Linked DNA regions of Arabidopsis thaliana. The protein of the gene in region 3 interacts with the protein of the main gene of each other region in a pairwise test. Each region holds a gene or a part of one and is shown on either strand. Other genes may lie near its edges. The genes, in order: AT1G14990, AT5G47530, AT2G28315 and AT1G36050.

The links.
Region 1: the proteins of AT2G28315 (region 3) and AT1G14990 interact in a protein complementation assay, tested with the Arabidopsis thaliana proteins (one large-scale study listed by BioGRID).
Region 2: the proteins of AT2G28315 (region 3) and AT5G47530 interact in a protein complementation assay, tested with the Arabidopsis thaliana proteins (one large-scale study listed by BioGRID).
Region 4: the proteins of AT2G28315 (region 3) and AT1G36050 interact in a protein complementation assay, tested with the Arabidopsis thaliana proteins (one large-scale study listed by BioGRID).

What each region holds. Positions count from the first base shown.
Region 1 is NC_003070.9:5,166,502-5,170,172, reverse strand, and holds AT1G14990 (uncharacterized protein), read left to right. Parts: upstream 1-1,908; 5' UTR 1,909-2,021; coding exon 2,022-2,140; intron 2,141-2,293; coding exon 2,294-2,375; intron 2,376-2,470; coding exon 2,471-2,587; intron 2,588-2,648; coding exon 2,649-2,678; intron 2,679-2,768; coding exon 2,769-2,819; 3' UTR 2,820-3,142; downstream 3,143-3,671. Other genes in the region: scpl50 (serine carboxypeptidase-like 50), read right to left, coding at 226-1,560; CPN10 (chaperonin 10), read left to right, coding at 3,519-3,623.
Region 2 is NC_003076.8:19,279,368-19,283,564, reverse strand, and holds AT5G47530 (Auxin-responsive family protein), read right to left. Parts: upstream 2,192-4,197; 5' UTR 2,095-2,191; coding exon 1,468-2,094; intron 1,339-1,467; coding exon 1,084-1,338; intron 1,001-1,083; coding exon 695-1,000; 3' UTR 504-694; downstream 1-503. Other genes in the region: AT5G47540 (Mo25 family protein), read left to right, coding at 28-130, 224-300. UniProt on the Arabidopsis thaliana protein: May act as a catecholamine-responsive trans-membrane electron transporter.
Region 3 is NC_003071.7:12,086,734-12,091,319, forward strand, and holds AT2G28315 (Nucleotide/sugar transporter family protein), read left to right. Parts: upstream 1-1,933; 5' UTR 1,934-2,162; coding exon 2,163-2,283; intron 2,284-2,399; coding exon 2,400-2,584; intron 2,585-2,664; coding exon 2,665-2,732; intron 2,733-2,820; coding exon 2,821-2,953; intron 2,954-3,036; coding exon 3,037-3,198; intron 3,199-3,392; coding exon 3,393-3,662; coding exon of another isoform or gene 3,663-3,671; exon of another isoform or gene 3,672-3,747; coding exon 3,748-3,837; 3' UTR 3,838-4,032; downstream 4,033-4,586. Other genes in the region: AT2G28310 (trimethylguanosine synthase (DUF707)), read left to right, coding at 1-36, 118-219, 297-410, 501-557, 652-718, 809-862, 952-1,155. UniProt on the Arabidopsis thaliana protein: Nucleotide-sugar transporter that transports UDP-xylose and UMP in a strict counter-exchange mode.
Region 4 is NC_003070.9:13,448,581-13,454,205, reverse strand, and holds AT1G36050 (Endoplasmic reticulum vesicle transporter protein), read right to left. Parts: upstream 4,003-5,625; 5' UTR 3,740-4,002; coding exon 3,598-3,739; intron 3,513-3,597; coding exon 3,439-3,512; intron 3,356-3,438; coding exon 3,272-3,355; intron 3,178-3,271; coding exon 3,097-3,177; intron 2,933-3,096; coding exon 2,852-2,932; intron 2,609-2,851; coding exon 2,516-2,608; intron 2,264-2,515; coding exon 2,084-2,263; intron 1,998-2,083; coding exon 1,930-1,997; intron 1,854-1,929; coding exon 1,802-1,853; intron 1,710-1,801; coding exon 1,656-1,709; intron 1,571-1,655; coding exon 1,478-1,570; intron 1,396-1,477; coding exon 1,329-1,395; intron 1,243-1,328; coding exon 1,165-1,242; coding exon of another isoform or gene 1,151-1,164; exon of another isoform or gene 846-1,150; coding exon 523-845; downstream 1-522.

The DNA.
Region 1 (3,671 bases), on a different chromosome or scaffold from region 3:
ATTCTTACCAAAACAGTTTATCTGAATCAATCCTTAAGTGTATACTGTATGCTAACTTTTTTGAGAAAGTTTAAGACTTCAGGAACAGGCAAATGATAAACTAAGTAGCAAAAGTTACCAATTCGTACTAAAATGAACTTGTGAACATGACGTAACAAATCTAAATCCAGAGTACAATTAGAATCTGAATTGAATCTTACAGAACTAAGTACAAGTACACAATATTTAGATTGAATGGTATAAGCTCGACGAAGTTGTCTGCTTCACATCTTTACCACCGAACAATCCTTTCCCCAAAACCCAACCTTCAATCATATCCCTTGAATTCACAGCTTTATCTGTCGGAACAAAATGACCAGCTCCTGTAACCGCCACGTGGCACAAATTCCCCCATCTCTGAACATAACCAGCGACCACACCGTCTTCATCCTTCCACACACGCCTCTCCGCCGTCGAGAACATTCCCAATCCTGACCAGTTCATAGTCTTCATCCACTCCTCCGTCGAAACGACGCCGTCTCTTAGATCAAGCATACCTTGATACAGCAAGACTTGAGTCCTCTCCAATGCGTACTCCACCATGAACTTTACGCTCTTCATCACGTCTGCCCGCAACACATCTTCTACTTCATCACTACATTCCTCAAAACGAACCGTTTCACTCACTCCCAAAACACGTTTTGCTTCTCTCTGGTTCAAGAGGTCCACCACGAGGTCTGTTCTGTATGGAATCGCCCGTGCCGTGTTGTAGAGCGTCGCGAGTCCTGTCATGTTACTTAGTAGCGTCAACAGTTCGGTCCTCGCGTCTGCTGCTTCACGCCATTTCTGGGACTTCACGAGAGCTACAGATATCTCCTGCGCTTTTTGCAGTTCAACTCTCTGTTTTGCGTTGACCAGACCCGAGTAGTAGACGTTGACCGCATGGGTTTGAACCTGGGTCACCGGGTCGGTCAGCCCGTTTCCAATGGCTAGCCCCTTTAGATTCACTTTCCCATTGGGTTTCTCTTTAAGGATATAGTATCCAATGGCTGGAACGTACTTCCCGGCGTAGCTCTCTCCAGTGAAGTAAACCGGTCGGTTTTCGAAGCTTGGGTTTTGTTCAAGGAACTCCACGAGAGCGGCGTAAAGATGCTCAGCGACCTGTCTCTGATTTGTGGGTATGTCTTGTTGTGAGGCTGCGATGCTGAATCCGACTCCTATTGGGTTATCCACAAAAAGTAGTCCGAATAGACGGTTCCATGCGCCGGGGTTGCGCTCGAGGTCTGTGGCGCGTGAAACTACACGCCAGGGACCGAGCTCGTAAAAGTTGCCAATCATTGAAGAGCAGCCTGGCCCACCTTGGAGCCAAACGAGGAGCGGAGTGTCAGGAAGAGGTGTGGTTGGCTCTTGGGCTTCGTAGAAGGCATAGAACATGGACGAGCCGGGTGCGGGTTTAACCGGGAGGTAGCCAGATTTAGTGGGGAGAGCTTCATCGGGAAATAGCGGTGGCTGAGGAGACTCAACGGAGACGGCGAGGAGGAGAGTGGAAAGCAATATGAAGAGTGTAGTGGCTTGCTCCATTATTTCCACTAATTGGTGACGCCTTTACATAAAGATCCCTTTGTATTATTTCATTTATTTCATTATTTGACTGCAAAACATTACGTTTATGTTTTGTCTTGTATAACATGTGAATTTTTAAATGTGTAACAATAACATTTTTGTCAAGACGTGCTTGCTTACTAACCTAATTGCATTAACATGTGAGTTTTTTAATTTAAAGGTTTTTGTTTGTAGATGATTTTCCATAATGTATATTATTTTAAATTTATTGTTGCCAAAAGAAATAAAATCTAAAAGTTTTATTGGGCCGAAAAGAGAAAAAGGTCAGATAGGCCCATAAAAAGTTGGACAATACAAAGCGTTTACAATTTGTCAATTGCAAATTTCGTGAGATGCTTCTTCTACTCGTCATCTCTGTTTGGTAAAGTGATCACAAGGTGTTCGATATAATACCTGAAAGAGTTTCCGAAGGTGTGAAGATGATGATCTTGGATGTTTGCTCAGAGGTTATAAAGATCCAGAAGCTACGACGGGCTGTCTCTTACGCCGGATTCTACTGCTTCACTGCTGCCCTCACATTCTTCTATACAAACAACACGTAATGTCTTTCGTCCGATCTCAGTTTGCTTCTTTTGGTTGTTCTTTCTTTTCAATATCGGAATTCGCAGATGATTTCAATTTCTGGGTTCTTCTCTTGGTTTCTGCTTCAGGTTTAATTTGATTTAATGTTACTGATTCGAATGTTGTGTAGAACAAGAGCAGGATATTCCAGGGGAGATCAGTTTTATGCATCTTACCCTGCTGGCACCGAACTTTTGACCGACACAGCTAAGGTTTGTCCTTGATGACAATTTTGAGTTGTCGTTTACAGTTTATATAGTTGATTAGTTCTGTGTGGAACTGATGATTGGGGTTTATTGGAGTAAAGCTGTACAAAGCGGCGCTTGGGAATTGCTATGAATCTGAAGATTGGGGTCCTGTTGAATTCTGCATAATGGCTAAGCATTTTGATCGCCAGGGAAAATCTCCATACGTTTACCACTCCGTAAGTTTCTTCAATCTCTTTATGATAATCTCTGTGGTGCGGATATTTTAGTGTTGTAAAGGTCAGTTTCCATAAGTCTAGAATCTTGATGGTACTGACTTTGTGGTGCCATTGATAGAAATGTTTGTCGAATCATGTGGGGTTAGAACCAAGAATTGAGCTCATTTTATTGTGAATGCAGCAATACATGGCTCACCTTCTATCTCAAGGCCAACTCGATGGAAGTGGCTAGTGGCGCCAGCTCTCTTTGTTTCAGCTTTGTGCCTAATCTTGTTATAGCAAATTCGAATCCTGGTATCTTGGAACATTTGTATGGTGTTTGTATAAGTCCGGAACCGTACCATTGGCTTACATGGATTATTCAGATTTGTACTCTGAAAATTAAGAGCATGTAATTCCCGCAGAGGCACAATGTAATAAACATATAGCATAGCAAAGCAACAATCCGGGGAAAAACTTTGGTTACCACCTTGAAAGAAATGGGGAAAACTGACAGAGCAAGAAGCTTTCCATCATCAGCAGAGACGTTTGATAAAAGAAAGGTCAAGATTTCATTCCACGAAAAATCTGCCGAAAATAAACATCTCATTCTGGATGTGGTATATGAAATGGGATTGTACATGGAGTTTGAAAAACTTGGCAAAGAGAATCATGGAAGGAACTAACCATTTGAGCTGCAAGGTCATACAACACTTCCAAGAATTTATTTAGACAAACACAAATGCGACTGGTTTTTTTTAATGAGTGAGGCCCATTAAAGAAATAGTATGATATTATAGGCCCAAACAATCCCAAAACCCTTGGCCTTTTTCTGTCGCGCTAAACCCTACGATCTAGAACCTTCCGTCTTATGTGTCTCTGCCCCAAATTAAAAACTCAGAAACCCTAGAAAATTCCGATTCATCAACTGAGAGAGAAGAAGAATTGAGAAATGATGAAGCGTCTGATCCCAACGTTCAACCGCATCTTGGTGCAGAGAGTCATCCAGCCCGCTAAAACCGAAAGCGGCATTCTCCTACCTGAGAAATCCTCCAAGGTAAAAGAGCTTTGATTTCACGATTTGATTCTTCTGATTTTCGCCTCT
Region 2 (4,197 bases), on a different chromosome or scaffold from region 3:
ACTGAGATTATCGTCACTGTTGTGCAGCTGTTTGCAGCGAACCAAAACAAGCCTGCGGATATAGTCAACATTCTGGTGGCCAACAGAAGCAAGCTTCTGAGATTGTTGGCTGATTTGAAACCAGACAAAGGTATGAAACTAATCTTGTTAAGTGAAACGCTTGTATCCGATCCTTCTGCTCCTTAACCTTATTAAAGCATTGTTTGGTTCATTTGGTTGACAGAGGATGAGAGGTTTGAAGCAGACAAAAGTCAGGTTTTGAGAGAAATCGCAGCCCTTGAACCTCGAGATCTTGCTTGAACCAACTAATGCAATTCATCCTTCCTTCCCTTTTAAAACACTCGAAAAGACATTTTTGAAGCATCTTGTTGTTTTTTTACATTAGGTAACCAATCTTCCTCTCACTTTCTCACCACACACACACACACACACACACACACACACACACATACACATACGAGATATCTATTCGATATATGTATTCATATGTACACTACTTCACTGTCGATGAAATAAAATGGTTTGTCAAAAGCTCACATCATGAATGTTGTAAAAGAGCACAAGAGTCTTTCAACTTCAACAACTATTAAACATCAAATGTATTAACTTAATCTCGAAAACAAACAAAAATTAACAACCACAAGCCCATAATGACCAAATAAACCAGAACATTTTACTCTAATCTTTACAGAGTCTACACGTATAGAGACCGACCATCGTTGCCTACTCGTTGACTTGTTTTCGCAGATGCCTCTGCTTTCCCTCTCTTTATGACTACATACCAAGTAAACCCTTCGAGCACAACCGCGACTATACCTAGTACTACGATTATGGCGGTGTAAGCGTTTCTCCACTGCTTCTCAGGGCTCAGGATGTCTAGTCCTTTAAAAACGTTTACCACCGCAAGAATGATCACTGAATAGCCTACAGTGTGGTGATAAATGTTCCAGTAGACTCTGTACTTGTGCTCTGGTTTGGGTCTCAAAAACATTGCAAACACCTAACGTGTGAAACAAGCAACTTAGTAATTGCAACATATTCATGACAAGTGTAATACTCTCTGTACTGTTAACTAAAACCTACCTGAATTGTTGCGAGGCAGAAGAGAGCGATCCCAACAGCACGGTGAAAGGTAAACTGAATCCCGGCTGATTCGTTGCCCAGTTTGAGACCGGTCGCCCAACCGGCAACACCAATGATGTAAGCAGAAGACTGGCAGAAAACATGAAGGTAGAACCAAGCAGGATCTGCTGATTTTGAGACTTTCAAGTAGCGAGCAATGATTGCTCCTATTGGCATCATTATACCCCAGCTCACACCGTTCAATATTCCATGTATCTGCAATAATGATTAGGAGTGATAAGTTTCATAAAACCAACTAACAATGATGGGATTGATAAATCTCATTTCATATGTGAGATTCCTAAAAAACATGAAATGAAGAAATTGATAAAACCATGGACTCACGTTGCGTTTGCGTAGCTTGGAAGCTCCTCCTGCTCCGGTAGAGGTGGATCCAGATGCACCAGAGACAAGGTTAAGAGTAGAAACAGAACGAACATTGTTGCCAGAAGTTGGATGAGGCAGAGGATTGTTCCCTGACAGTGACCCATCTTGCCACACAGTGTTAATGATTCCACCATTCGCAAGTGGAAGATTCAGAATTGCGTAGATGACCATCTCGTTGTTTTGGTAAGTGGCAGACAACTGAGAGACGTTGAAACTCAGCTCAGCTTCTAGGAGACTCGTTTGGTAGCTACTGATGGGTGACGTATAAGCCCTAACGGTGCCGTCTGATTGTGGATAAGCCACAATGGCTTGAGCTCCGACCATGCCAGTAGATGTGGGATTCACGGCCCATGCCACCCATTTCCCGGGGGTGAGCTTTGTGTGGCGATACGCGATTTGGAGATTGCCTGAAGAAGAATCGTAAGTGTAGTGGAGGAAGGAATCAAGAACAGGTAGGTCGTTGCAAGACTCAAAGAGACGGTTGGTGGAGAATTTGTAGTTGGAACATTTCTGAGCCAAGGCGGATTTGGTGATGATGAAAATGAAAAGAGAGAGACAAAGGAGAAGATTTGAGGATATGGCCATGGAAACAGAATCTCGAGTAATGATTAAAAGATGGATGAATGATAAGATTTAAGTATGAAGGGGAAGAGAGGAGAATGAGATTAAGTATGAATAGAAAGTGGAACAAGTAGGGTTTGGTTTGTTAGTTAATCTGTCTTAATACAGAATCTCTAATTCTCTTCACACGTGTCCTTTTTTCATAGTTTAATCTTTCTTTTAATCCTCTGCTTTTGTTCTTGTTCATCTATCAATTGCAATGTTTTACCTAAGAGTAAAAAATAGAAACATTATAAATGAAGCGTTCATTGTTTTCCCAAAAAGGTTTGACGTGTAATGTATTTCTTCCTTAAGAGTCTTTAACCCTCTCAAGCAAAAACCAAGAAATAAAAATATGAAGGGGTCATCTTCACGTTCAAAAACCAGTTCACACCAACTTTATTACGAGAACTCATTTCTCGTGTTTATTTTTTCTTTGTTTGTCATGAAAAATCTTTTTCATTGTATATAGGTTTTGTCATGACATTGCGCGTTAAGTTAGATTATAATCTTGGTACGCTTGGGAATTGGGATGATGATAAATTATTGAGCACACTAAAATATTAGGTTTCATTGGGTTTAGTGGTTCAATTGACGAAAGTAGACTAGCGAAGGGAGTAGTGGTTTTCGCGTAATAAAGGGCAAACACGTCTATGCCTGCAACTACTAACGTTGTGCATGTATGATGTACCCTAAGTAAACATCTACCACCTTATGAGTATGGACTGGAGCGGACCAGACCAACAAACTGTTTATGAGAGATTCCAATCCAAGGGAAGTGGTTGGGTTTAGCTATTTTTAGAGTTATGTTCTTCTATATATAGGCCGCGACCAACATTTCAACGGTTAAGACCATGTACATGAGTGATATTTTTAGAATATCATCAGTGTAAAAATTATTTTTTTATTAACCAAACAATTAGAATGAGTTTGATTAGTATCATTCCAGTGATTTTCTTGATATCAGTATCATCTACGTGACATCTCCTGATTGGTAGCATTTATTAAAAGTAAGAAAAAAAATATTTATCTATTAAACAAACATTATAAATAATACTAAAATTTTTTTAATGATACTTTGAGAATATCACCTATAAGCATGCTCTAACCAGGTGGATGTATAATAATGTCCTTTCTTGGTCAACGCTCAAATTACTACCTGCCACATGTCCCCCACTAGATTCTTTGGTGTAGCTGGGCTCAGTTTGAACTAGACTCTTTTATATGGGCTTAAGTGTTAATTATCAAAAAACAACCCAAAATGAGATATTTAGATATAATATGTTTTTGATGGAAAAAAAGGAAAGATATAATATGTTTTTTTGATGAATGAAAAGTATTACAATTATTCAAAAAATCACTAGTTTCCTGAAAAACAATACAAATTGCATAGTTTCAGAAGGATAATCTGATTTGGGTAGAGTTTGTTGATGTTAGAAATATAAATATTTTCTTTTATAAATAAAATAGGATGGAAAATCCATCATATTTGAAAGTTTTGTTGTGTCTAATAAATAACAGTAGAGTGTACATAATCGGTAACTTTTTTTTCCTTAACTAAAATTTTAAGTGAAACTAAAACAAAGGTGGTAAAAAAAAGTAGAGCCTATGGTAAAATAGGGTAAGAGGGTCCATAAGGGCCCAAGATGTTTTATTTTTGCTGAGCCCATTATTACCAATCCGAACCGAAATGGAAAAACTCCGGTCTCTTTCTTTCTCTCTCTCTCTGCCAGAGTTACTGCGTGTCTTTGATTTCCCAGAAGAAGGCGTTGAATCCTTTCGTTTTCCGATTCCATTTTTGGGATCTCTTGTTTCGTTTTCTTCTCTTTGGATCCATTCCATTCCCATGTTCCCCAATTTCTTTAATCGGTGTTGCTTCCACAAGGTAATTTTGTTTTCCTCTGCACTTCCCGAGAATAAAGAGAAGGTTTTTCTCAATTTTCCCCTTATGATTATCCCTGTAAATGCGAGTTTTTTGTCCTGTTTTGTCTAATGGGTCTTCATAATTCGTGATCATCAACGTTTTCTCTGTCTTGTGTGTGTATGTATGTGTGTGATCTTACATCTGACGGGAATGTAATGTGATGA
Region 3 (4,586 bases):
CGCGATTCATATTAGTACAAGAAAGCAAACAAAATGGTTAGTCATCTGGTCATTTACCGGTTATTAAGTATGTTTGTCGAGTATGTTTTTATCGAAATTCTCTACTGGTTTTGGCAGGTGGTACGCGAAGAGGTTTTTGCATCCTGATGTTGTGTCAGCTTATGAGTACATATTTATATGGGATGAAGATCTTGGAGTGGAGCATTTCAATGCGGATAAGTAAGTTATTACTTGTCTGAAGTAGCAGAACAATCTTATATTTTACATTTTGTGATGGAATTCTATTAAAACTTCAGGTACATTGAGTTAGTTAAGAAGCATGGTTTAGAGATTTCTCAACCAGGCTTAGAGCCTAACAATGGACTCACATGGGAAATGACAAAGAGGAGAGGTGACCGGGAAGTCCATAAGTAAGATCTCCTTCTCTAACCATTCTTCTTTGCCTTTCTTTCAAATTTGGTTCTGAATTAAGAAATGTGTTGTTACTTACTGTTGAACAGAGATACAAAAGAGAAACCAGGATGGTGTAAAGACCCACATTTACCTCCATGTGCCGCGTAAGTCTCTCTTTGAAACGTTCTCTTTAGAGCAACTCAAGAGTGTTTAGTCATTGTCAGTACTGAGTTTTCTGAAAAAAATTCCCTCTCACAGGTTTGTTGAAATAATGGCGCCTGTATTTTCTCGAGAAGCATGGCGATGTGTGTGGCATATGATTCAGGTTCGTCGATCTGTAGATACATAGTCCTAGTCTTAGTCCATCAAAATAATGCTTGTTGTTTTGATCAGTTTGTTTATGTTTCTGATGCAGAATGATCTGGTTCATGGATGGGGTCTCGACTTTGCGCTTAGAAGATGCGTTGAAGTAAGTTGTTTTTGCCCCCCCCTTGCTTACCTTAATAACACAATATTCTCTTGACTGATGATGAAAATTTGTGTGTTTTGCTTTTGCAGCCTGCTCATGAGAAGATTGGTGTTGTGGATTCGCAATGGATAATACATAAAGTGATACCTTCACTTGGAAGTCAAGGAAAGTCAGAGAATGGGAAAGCTCCATGGCAAGGAGTGAGAGATAGATGCAAAATGGAATGGACAATGTTTCAGAACCGATTGGCTGATGCTGATAAAGAGTATCTTGGGAAGATGGTGAAAGATTAGATTTGTTTTTCTTTTTTCTTTCTATATAATTAATATATTAAAAAAACTTTTACTTTTGTATATCAAATATTTTACACTAAATTAGGTTTTCATAGGACATGTGTGAAGCCCTTTTTATTGATATTGTGTAAGATTTATACATTTTGATTGAGCTTTATTATGTTGTTTGTTACTTTCTCCATTTCAAATTCTTAGATGTTTTTAAAAAGAAATTGCTTTCACTAAACAAGAGAGAAGTGAAACATGTAAAAAAAAAAAACTTTAGAAAACAAAGGTGTAATAGAAGTGGTTGTTATTACATAATCTTTTTGACTTCTGAAAAGACAATAAGAAAACAAGACTTATAACCAGTTTCATGATTTATCTATTTCACCCAATTTCATAAATTGGCTATTTTATATTTGCTCTCAATAGGTAACGTAAATGGTAGAGAAATTAAGGAGAAGAGAAGGGTATTGGTATGGACTTTGGAGTGAGTGTGAAGCTTTACACCAAATCCAAATAATTTCAATTTTCATTTTAGTTTCTATTTTACAATATTTTGCCCAATAGAAAAAGTATGAGAAATTCAGTTTCACCTTCCTTTTTGCTTTTAGTTCAAGTCAATTGTTTGTCCATAGAAAACCATACAATGTCTCCCTCCATTGGCTGTTTCATTTCAGAGTCTTTTTTATGGTTAAGAATTTGCTATCATATCATTAGTAGAAGTCTCTTATGAGGAAAAACAAATATTAAGCAACATCATTATAGTTTTTCTCATGTATCTTGTGCGTAATTATGTAAATGTCATAATTATTAAAACATGAAATTAGGAAGAACAGAAGTTTGGTGTTAGACACCAACCATTTTTATACAAACAAATAATAAAAATCTCATTATATCACCTTTGCATTTCATCACTCATCACATTCACAATCCTTCTCTTTTTCTCACATCAATATATATCTCTCTTTCTCTCTCTTCATTTGATAGATTTGAAGATTTGAGAGGAGAGAGAGGAAGAAAAAATGGGAGAGATGAAGAGTATGCAAATGGGTGTGATTGGAGCATTGTTTCTATCAGTTGCATCTTCTGTCTCCATTGTCATTTGCAACAAAGCTTTGATGACCAATCTTGGTTTCCCTTTTGGTAATTACTAGTACTTTTTTTTTTTGCTTTGTGAGAATATATTTTGTAAGATCTTTATCAAAAACCCGATTATTCGTCTTAGGATTGATCGCTTTTTTGCTATGGTTTTGTTACAGCAACAACACTTACTAGTTGGCATTTGATGGTAACATATTGCACACTTCATGTGGCATATAAACTAAACTTCTTTGAGAATAAACCAATAGACATGAGAACTGTTGTTCTCTTTGGCCTCCTCAATGGCATTTCCATTGGTCTCCTCAATCTCAGCCTCGGCTTTAATTCCATCGGCTTCTATCAAGTATATATCTTCGACATACTTTTGATCATGTAACAATTATATGATTCACCAATTTGATGTTTGTCCATAACTAATGGCAGATGACCAAACTTGCTATCATACCATTCACTGTTCTTTTAGAAACCCTCTTCCTCAACAAGAAGTTCAGGTGAACCAAACTTGATACATAAGATTATTTTAATTTTTATTGTTTACATAAATAACTTTTTTTTGAATGACATATTTTGGTTTTGCAGCCAGAAGATAAAATTCTCATTGTTTTTGCTGCTAGTTGGGGTTGGTATAGCATCAATCACAGATCTTCAGCTCAATTTTGTTGGCTCTGTTCTATCTCTCCTTGCCATTGCCACAACTTGCGTCGGCCAAATTGTATGCTTTAAGTTTCATTAAACTAATGTTTAATAACTAATACATAGTATAATTAATATGACTATGAAAATGTTGTGGTGAAGCTAACAAACACTATCCAGAAGAGACTGAACGTGACATCAACACAACTCCTATACCAATCAGCCCCGTTCCAAGCTGCTATACTCTTCGTCTCGGGTCCTTTTGTCGACAAATACCTCACTAGCCTCAATGTTTTCTCCTTCCATTACTCTCCCATCGTCGTGGTAATTTTTTACATCGTTAATTCCATTTATTCCCAATTGGTGTTAAAATAGAATTAGAATCATTGTCCTGGATCGGTCCAGCCCATTTTCGCATGGCCCCTTAGAGCCGTGCCCATGTTGAGCCATGATTGTATCATAACGTCCCTAGATAGATACTAAAATTTTGTGAAATTTGACAATGATGAATCATGCAGGGGTTCATAACGTTGTCGTGTTTGATAGCGGTTTCGGTTAACTTCAGTACGTTTTTAGTGATTGGAAAGACATCTCCGGTGACATACCAAGTCTTGGGACATCTCAAAACGTGTTTGGTGCTCGCATTTGGTTACACTCTCCTTCACGATCCCTTCACTCCTCGTAATATCGCAGGAATACTCATCGCTGTCCTCGGGATGCTTCTCTACTCCTACTTCTGCTCAGTTGCTTCTAAATCCAAACAAGCCTCCTCCGATTCCACTTTTCTTGTACGTTAACCACACAAAAAGAAAAGATAGAAATAATGAGTGTTGAAAGTTTCTAAGTACTTTGGTTTTATTCCTTTTTTGACAGGGGAAAGATAGAGATACGACGCCGCTTTTGGGACAAGAAAATGAGAACCATCATGAAGCCAAGAAATTAGACAAGCATTCTCCAGTATGAAATAGTACAATAACTCTTTCTTTATGTTTCGACTCTATAATTGTGTCCCTTTTTTTTGTTCATTCATTGATAATGTTTTTGTAATTGAGAAAAAATTGAAATAGCCAATGGGCATTTTCTCTTCTTTTTTATATTTACATTTCCTATTTCATTTCCTCCTTTTTGGATCTTACAAGGATTATAAAATTATTTTCTCTCGTACGTGTTCTTTGGTTTATGTTAGTGTTCTTCAAATGATCAAATGATTGTTTTCTATTAAGAAGATAAAATAAAATAGTATAGTACTAAATAGTGTTTAAAATACAATTAGTTTCAAAACGGTTTTGGACTTTTCGGTGATTAAAATGTGATAAATTATGAAGTTTTTGAGTTTATGGAAGAAAAATGATGGGCGATTTGACATATGCATATAATTATTATCGGTTTTTAGGATAACAGGAACCAGAAATTTCTAATAATTGAAATGCTTTATGCTCTTATTTTTCCTTTCCATATAAAAAATTTAAATGCAATTTATAACATATATACATATAGATATGTATATTGTTAAATATTACATGTGCGTTACGTCTAACGTTTACGAGAATTCATCCTCTGTTCACATGCTACGTTGTCGTTGTTGTTTTATCTTTCCATGAATAGTATATGTATAACATTTTTATGTTATGGTCTTATGGACCTACAAAGAGAATTGGCAATGAAACTTTCCCTTAAAAGCGAATAATTTTTTTAATTAAAAACTAGTGGTT
Region 4 (5,625 bases), on a different chromosome or scaffold from region 3:
TTTAGAATAGACCGAGTGATAGATAATAAGTAAAAAAAAAAGTAAAACAATTATCAAGTCTTTAAGTTAACACAAAAGATTAGATTTCTTTTTTTGTGTTTAACAATGGTAACCAAAGTGAGTTTTTTTTACGAGCAAACGTTGTCAAATGAGAAAGGAAGACTTGGATGATAAAAGTGTCCATGCAAATATAGAAACCAATTGCCAAGCCAAAGGAATGAGAGAATGCACATATATTAGGCTTGCACATTCGGGTACCGGTTTGGGTTCGACTCGAGTATTTGGATTTTGGTTTCGTACTAGGAATCGAGGTACTATTTGGGTATTTTAAAATTTTGTTCGGGATTGGTTTGGTAACCTTCGGGTTCATATCAGTTCGGATAGTTGATATGGGTGAATTGAAAATTATCGGATACAGTTCAAGTTGGTTACTTTATACTCAAATTTATCCAAACTACTCGAAAAGAAAAACCCGATGTTCCCAATCAAACCAGGCAATATAGGTTAAAGGAGATCATGAGTTTAGTTAGGCTTCAAATATATTCGAGTTCCCGTTAATTTATCAGGTATTATCCTTTTTGAACCAATACCGAAAATATATGAAGACAAGACCCAATCAAATGTTCTAGAGGATCCAAAACAGACCCAAACCGATATTTCGGATAGGTTCTGGTTCAGTTCTTCGAATCCGAGTATTAACCGAGACCTAACATATATTGCAATCGGAATTAATATATTCACTAATAACAACTTTCTCGTCAATACTAATAATGATTCTCTGTACTCTAAGCGTTTATTATGGAGACTGTTTTGCTTCTTTTTCTTCCATTCATTGAATCCATACACTACAATCAAAGATAGACTCAAGACTTAACTTCAGATTCAAAACCCATAATATCTTCAAAAGACAAAAAGTCAAAAGACGATAATTGTAACGCACGCATGAGGCTGTCAACAGCTGGATTGACACAACCCAAGACTTATCCTTCAATTTGCATTAAAAGAGTGTAACGTATCAATATGTATATTTTATATAGTCAGCTTAACAAAAAGAATTAAATAAATGACACCATATTACATTTGGAGCATGAATCGTATTATCCGCAAAACAAAAAGAGAGAGACGAAAACCCCAAAAAGGCTTAAAGGATTTAGCTAAATTTACCAATTTCCATCTTCTTCTTGATAGCTTTTTGACCATGGTATATAAACGCGTCTATTATCCCGGACACTGTGAAGACACCTGCGCATTTTTACATGTTTCATTTCGGATTTTAATGTGCGTTAACCAACAAGTGTTGTTATGGTATATAGAGATTAGAGAGATACCTCCAACTATGGCGCAAACATTCGTCAAGAAGTGCAAGAATGATATGTGTTCCTCCGTAAATGTTACCTACGGAAACGACACATTTTAGTTAGGATTATGACTATAAATACGCTCTAAAACTGCAGTTAAAACACACAAATACACTCACCTTGATTGGAGAGAGATCATAGAAGAAGAAAACTCCAGGTAAAGATTGCAGTTGACCTGCTTCTGAGCTCTTTACATGTTCGGTCACTGAGAACTGCCAATTTTACATTTAAGTTAAGATAGTACGCGGAAGAGAATGAATAGATAATGAGGTCGAACAGTTAAAAGCCTTGGTTCACCTGATTCGATTGAATTGTGTGTCCTCTGATATCTGTGTATACTGTTGGTACAACCTATTGAAAGCAGACAAAGCAGAATAGAGTCATCGCGGGTATTTTATAGACGAATTTGAAGTATATGATACAGTGTTTGTCTTGGAACAAACCTTGATAAAGTATTGGTACATAGCATTAGGTGTGTCTTGACTCCACTCGACTCTGCAATTTCAAGTACGTTAGAGAGTATGAAAAAATAAATAGTGTGTGAATGGAATAGACCAGAATGGTTATTTACTTGTCAAGAGGGTTAACGACGCCAGGAAAGTAGTCTCCATAAGTAAGTCTATTGATCTTGTGACTTATCTGCAGGGAGACGCAACATATTGAATTGATATAAGATTAGAAGCATAACGAATGAGTTGCAGTCAATAGGACAAGTCATTTCTTACGTTAAAACTGTCTTTCTGAAAAGCAAGAAGATCGTGAACATGCACGCCCGACTGATGAAAGCTTTTCCCAGGAGCAAAGTGGAAGTTCCCAGCCACCTTATTGACCTCCAAGAACCCATATATATTACACCCTTCACCTTCTTCATCCTTTACTCTTTGTAGAAAACCTTCTCGTTTACACTGAATCACAAACAGATAAGTGAAAAGTATTTCAGCTCGCAGTTGGAAGATGGAAACTCTTTGAAGCATAGTTCAGTTAAGAGCCTCCCAAGTGCATACTAACTAAACAAAACGCACACAAGCCTTGGAGACTCTAACAAAGAATAAGAAAAAGAAACAAGAAGAAAGAAATGAAACAAAACTTGCTACTATCGCATTGAAACAGTGATGCCAGGAATTTAAAAGGCGAAGAACCTTTTCTTAGCAATTTACCTGGTCAATCAAATCTGGATTAGTAACCCCCCAACCTTTCTTTCTATATGCTTCACGAACATCCTCACACGAATTGCAGCAGTCATGCTCTTCCTGCACGGGGAAAAAACATACTTCAGATGAAAGCTTATAAATAAATGAAAGCCAGATTGAAAAAGCACTATCAACTATCCTGAAAATGATAACTATATATAGTACAGAAACAATCCACTATGACATCTGTTTTTGTTTATTCCATTATGACCTCTTGACTAGCACTAAACAATCAAGAGTAATCTGAATATGAACTTGAGAAACCATGCTCCACAAAGTCAAATAGAGAGATAACACAATTACCGCTTCAGCCCCATAGCAAGAACCACAGTAAGTCTCATTATGTCCCAGCCTGCCACCATGTTTCTGCAGTGGGTTTTCAATCTACACAAGCACAAAAAAAAAAGTATAAGACTTTAAAGACCCCAAAAACAAACGACTTTTAATTCTTGACACTACTATTCCATTTGCCATTTGCCATTTGCCTGCAGTTTAATCCTAGCCTAATGACTACAAAACCCCAAAGAATAGAATGGCAGAGAGCAAACCTTAGTAGCGCCTATTCCGTCCTGTCTTGCCTCTATAGTGTTGCCATTAGAATCTAATCTTCTCTTTATGATATCATGTTTCTGTAACTCACACATTTAACAAACTTAATCAACGTCTCAAACACAAAAACTAAGATTCACTAAGCTATAACAGTAACCAATTTTACAAACATACCACGTCAAGATGAAGCTCTCCACTAATATCCATAGCATCAACACTAAGAATCGAACATGCTAGAGCAGGAAACGTAATATCAAACTGCATCATCAATGAAACTTATCAGACATCTCTAATCAAATATAAGCACAAACCAAGTCAAAATCACTATTAAGTAACATTACGTTGATGCGTAACGTCTCTCCCCTTGAAGTATCTACTATAAGCTTCGTCTCGGTGACTGTATGAAGATAAAGACCTAAACAACAGAATCAAAGAATTTCAAAATTACGAAACTGGATATGGAGATTCACAAAATTGGAAGCGAAGTTGTTAATACGTACGGAGCTCGGAGAAGAAGAGAAGGAACATAACAACGGAGGAGAGGAGAGTGATAACTCCGCCGGATAATGTACGGCTGTAAAAATCTTCATTGATCTTAGGATATGCATCTAGATTCCGCAATTTATTCAAGATCCCGGCCATTTTTAAACACCTCCGGGAACGAAATTGTCAGATTCAGTTCACCGGATTCAAATCCAGCACCGAATACGATTAGGTAGGATGTTCGGAGACAAAATCAGACGAGAGAAACGTCGTCGGAAGCGAAAATTCTTCCGACGATGCGTGAATAGATCTTGGAGAGAGTGATCGATGAGATCTTTGAGTCGTTCTTCTTCTTCTTCTTCTTCTTCTTCTTCACCGTCTCGTTTTTTCTCCGTCGGACGGAGGAGCGTTTGACGGTCTACGTAAACCCGTTCGTGTTTGCCGTCTTTCGCTTCATGAGTAAACGACGTCGTTACTATTTCATGTGTCTTAAGAGGCTTTTCAATTGTTAGCTTGTAGCAAACTAGGCCCAAATTTGGTCGATGAGCAAAAGTAAAAATGGATAAAAATATTGTTTTCTATTTTGGTTTTTGTCTAGGACTAGTGATGTTAATTTGGGTATGCAAATCCTATTTAATTAATGGTTATGAGTAAGAGTTTTTGACCCATTTAAATTAATTTAGGAAAAACAAGTTAAATGAGATTAAATGGATTAAGCCAACTAAACTCATTTATTAAATAAGGTTTCACATAAATAAATTGGTATCCAATTAAGTCTATTTATTTTTCTTTTTCTATTAGTCATCCTTAGTAAAACTAAATTATTCTATTTAACTTCAGTTTTTGGTTTAAATATTAAAATTACGTTTTTCCGCCACAACCGTAAACCAACATTTTCTCGACAAAACCGTAAAACCACGTTTTCCCGCTAAAATCACAAAAAGTGTTTTCTTGCCAAAATCACACAAAAAGTATTTTCCGCCAAAATTAAAAATCACGTTTTCCCGCAACAACTGTAAGCCAACGTTTTCCCACCAAAACCGTAAAATAATATTTTGTACACATAAATTAAATGACTTTAAAAAAATTAATACATGCTAATTTTTTCTTCAAATAAATATAAATACATCCTAATTTATTTGACCAATAACACATATAAAAACAAATTTGTTAATTTTTCTTTTAGTTCAGAAAAAAAAGTTAAAAACATTTGAGATATAGACATATAAATTTGTTTTTTTGTTAGTTTTATTTTATTTCTTTAAGATTTATATAATAAGATTTACAATCCTTAAACATTCATAACTCATGGATGCCTAATACCGGGACTATTTCCTGGATTAGTAGGCGCAAAATCATTTGTAAATTTGTTGTTTACAACTCTTAGATGCCCAATACCAGGACTATGTCCTGGATTAGTAGGCGCAAAATCTTTTGTAAATTTGTTGTTTATAACTTTTGGATGCCCAATACCAGAATTATGTCCTGGATTAGTAGGCGCAAAATCATTTATACATCTATTATTTAGATTATTTTTATTGTCAATTTTCTTTAACATTTTTGCTTCCACGAAATCTTCATTAGCATTGAAATGCTCATGACGGTCCATCTTCCTCAAATTTCTTGCTTCAATGGTGACAAGTGTTTTGTCAAATACCTTTGAGATGGTTAAACTGGTCACCACAATGATAATAAATAGCTTCATGTTTCTTTTCTCTAAATTAGATAAAACAATTATGTTTTGGTATATGATTAGTATTGAATGTTGAGTAAGGTTTGTCCGACTAAAACTATATTTACAGTGTCTATTCAAATTATTAAAATTATAATTATTAAAGTTTTAAATTCAATATATATATCGTATAACTGTTGTATCATATCTTTCAATTTTCCAGAATCCTCAAAAAGTAAATAAATATATATATGTATAACACCTAAAAATATGGGCTTAGATATATAAACATGTGAACAGTTAAGGTAATTGAGAAGAAGTTGGTTACGTGAAGATATGGTTGGATAAAACGTATGCATCATATAATGATCTT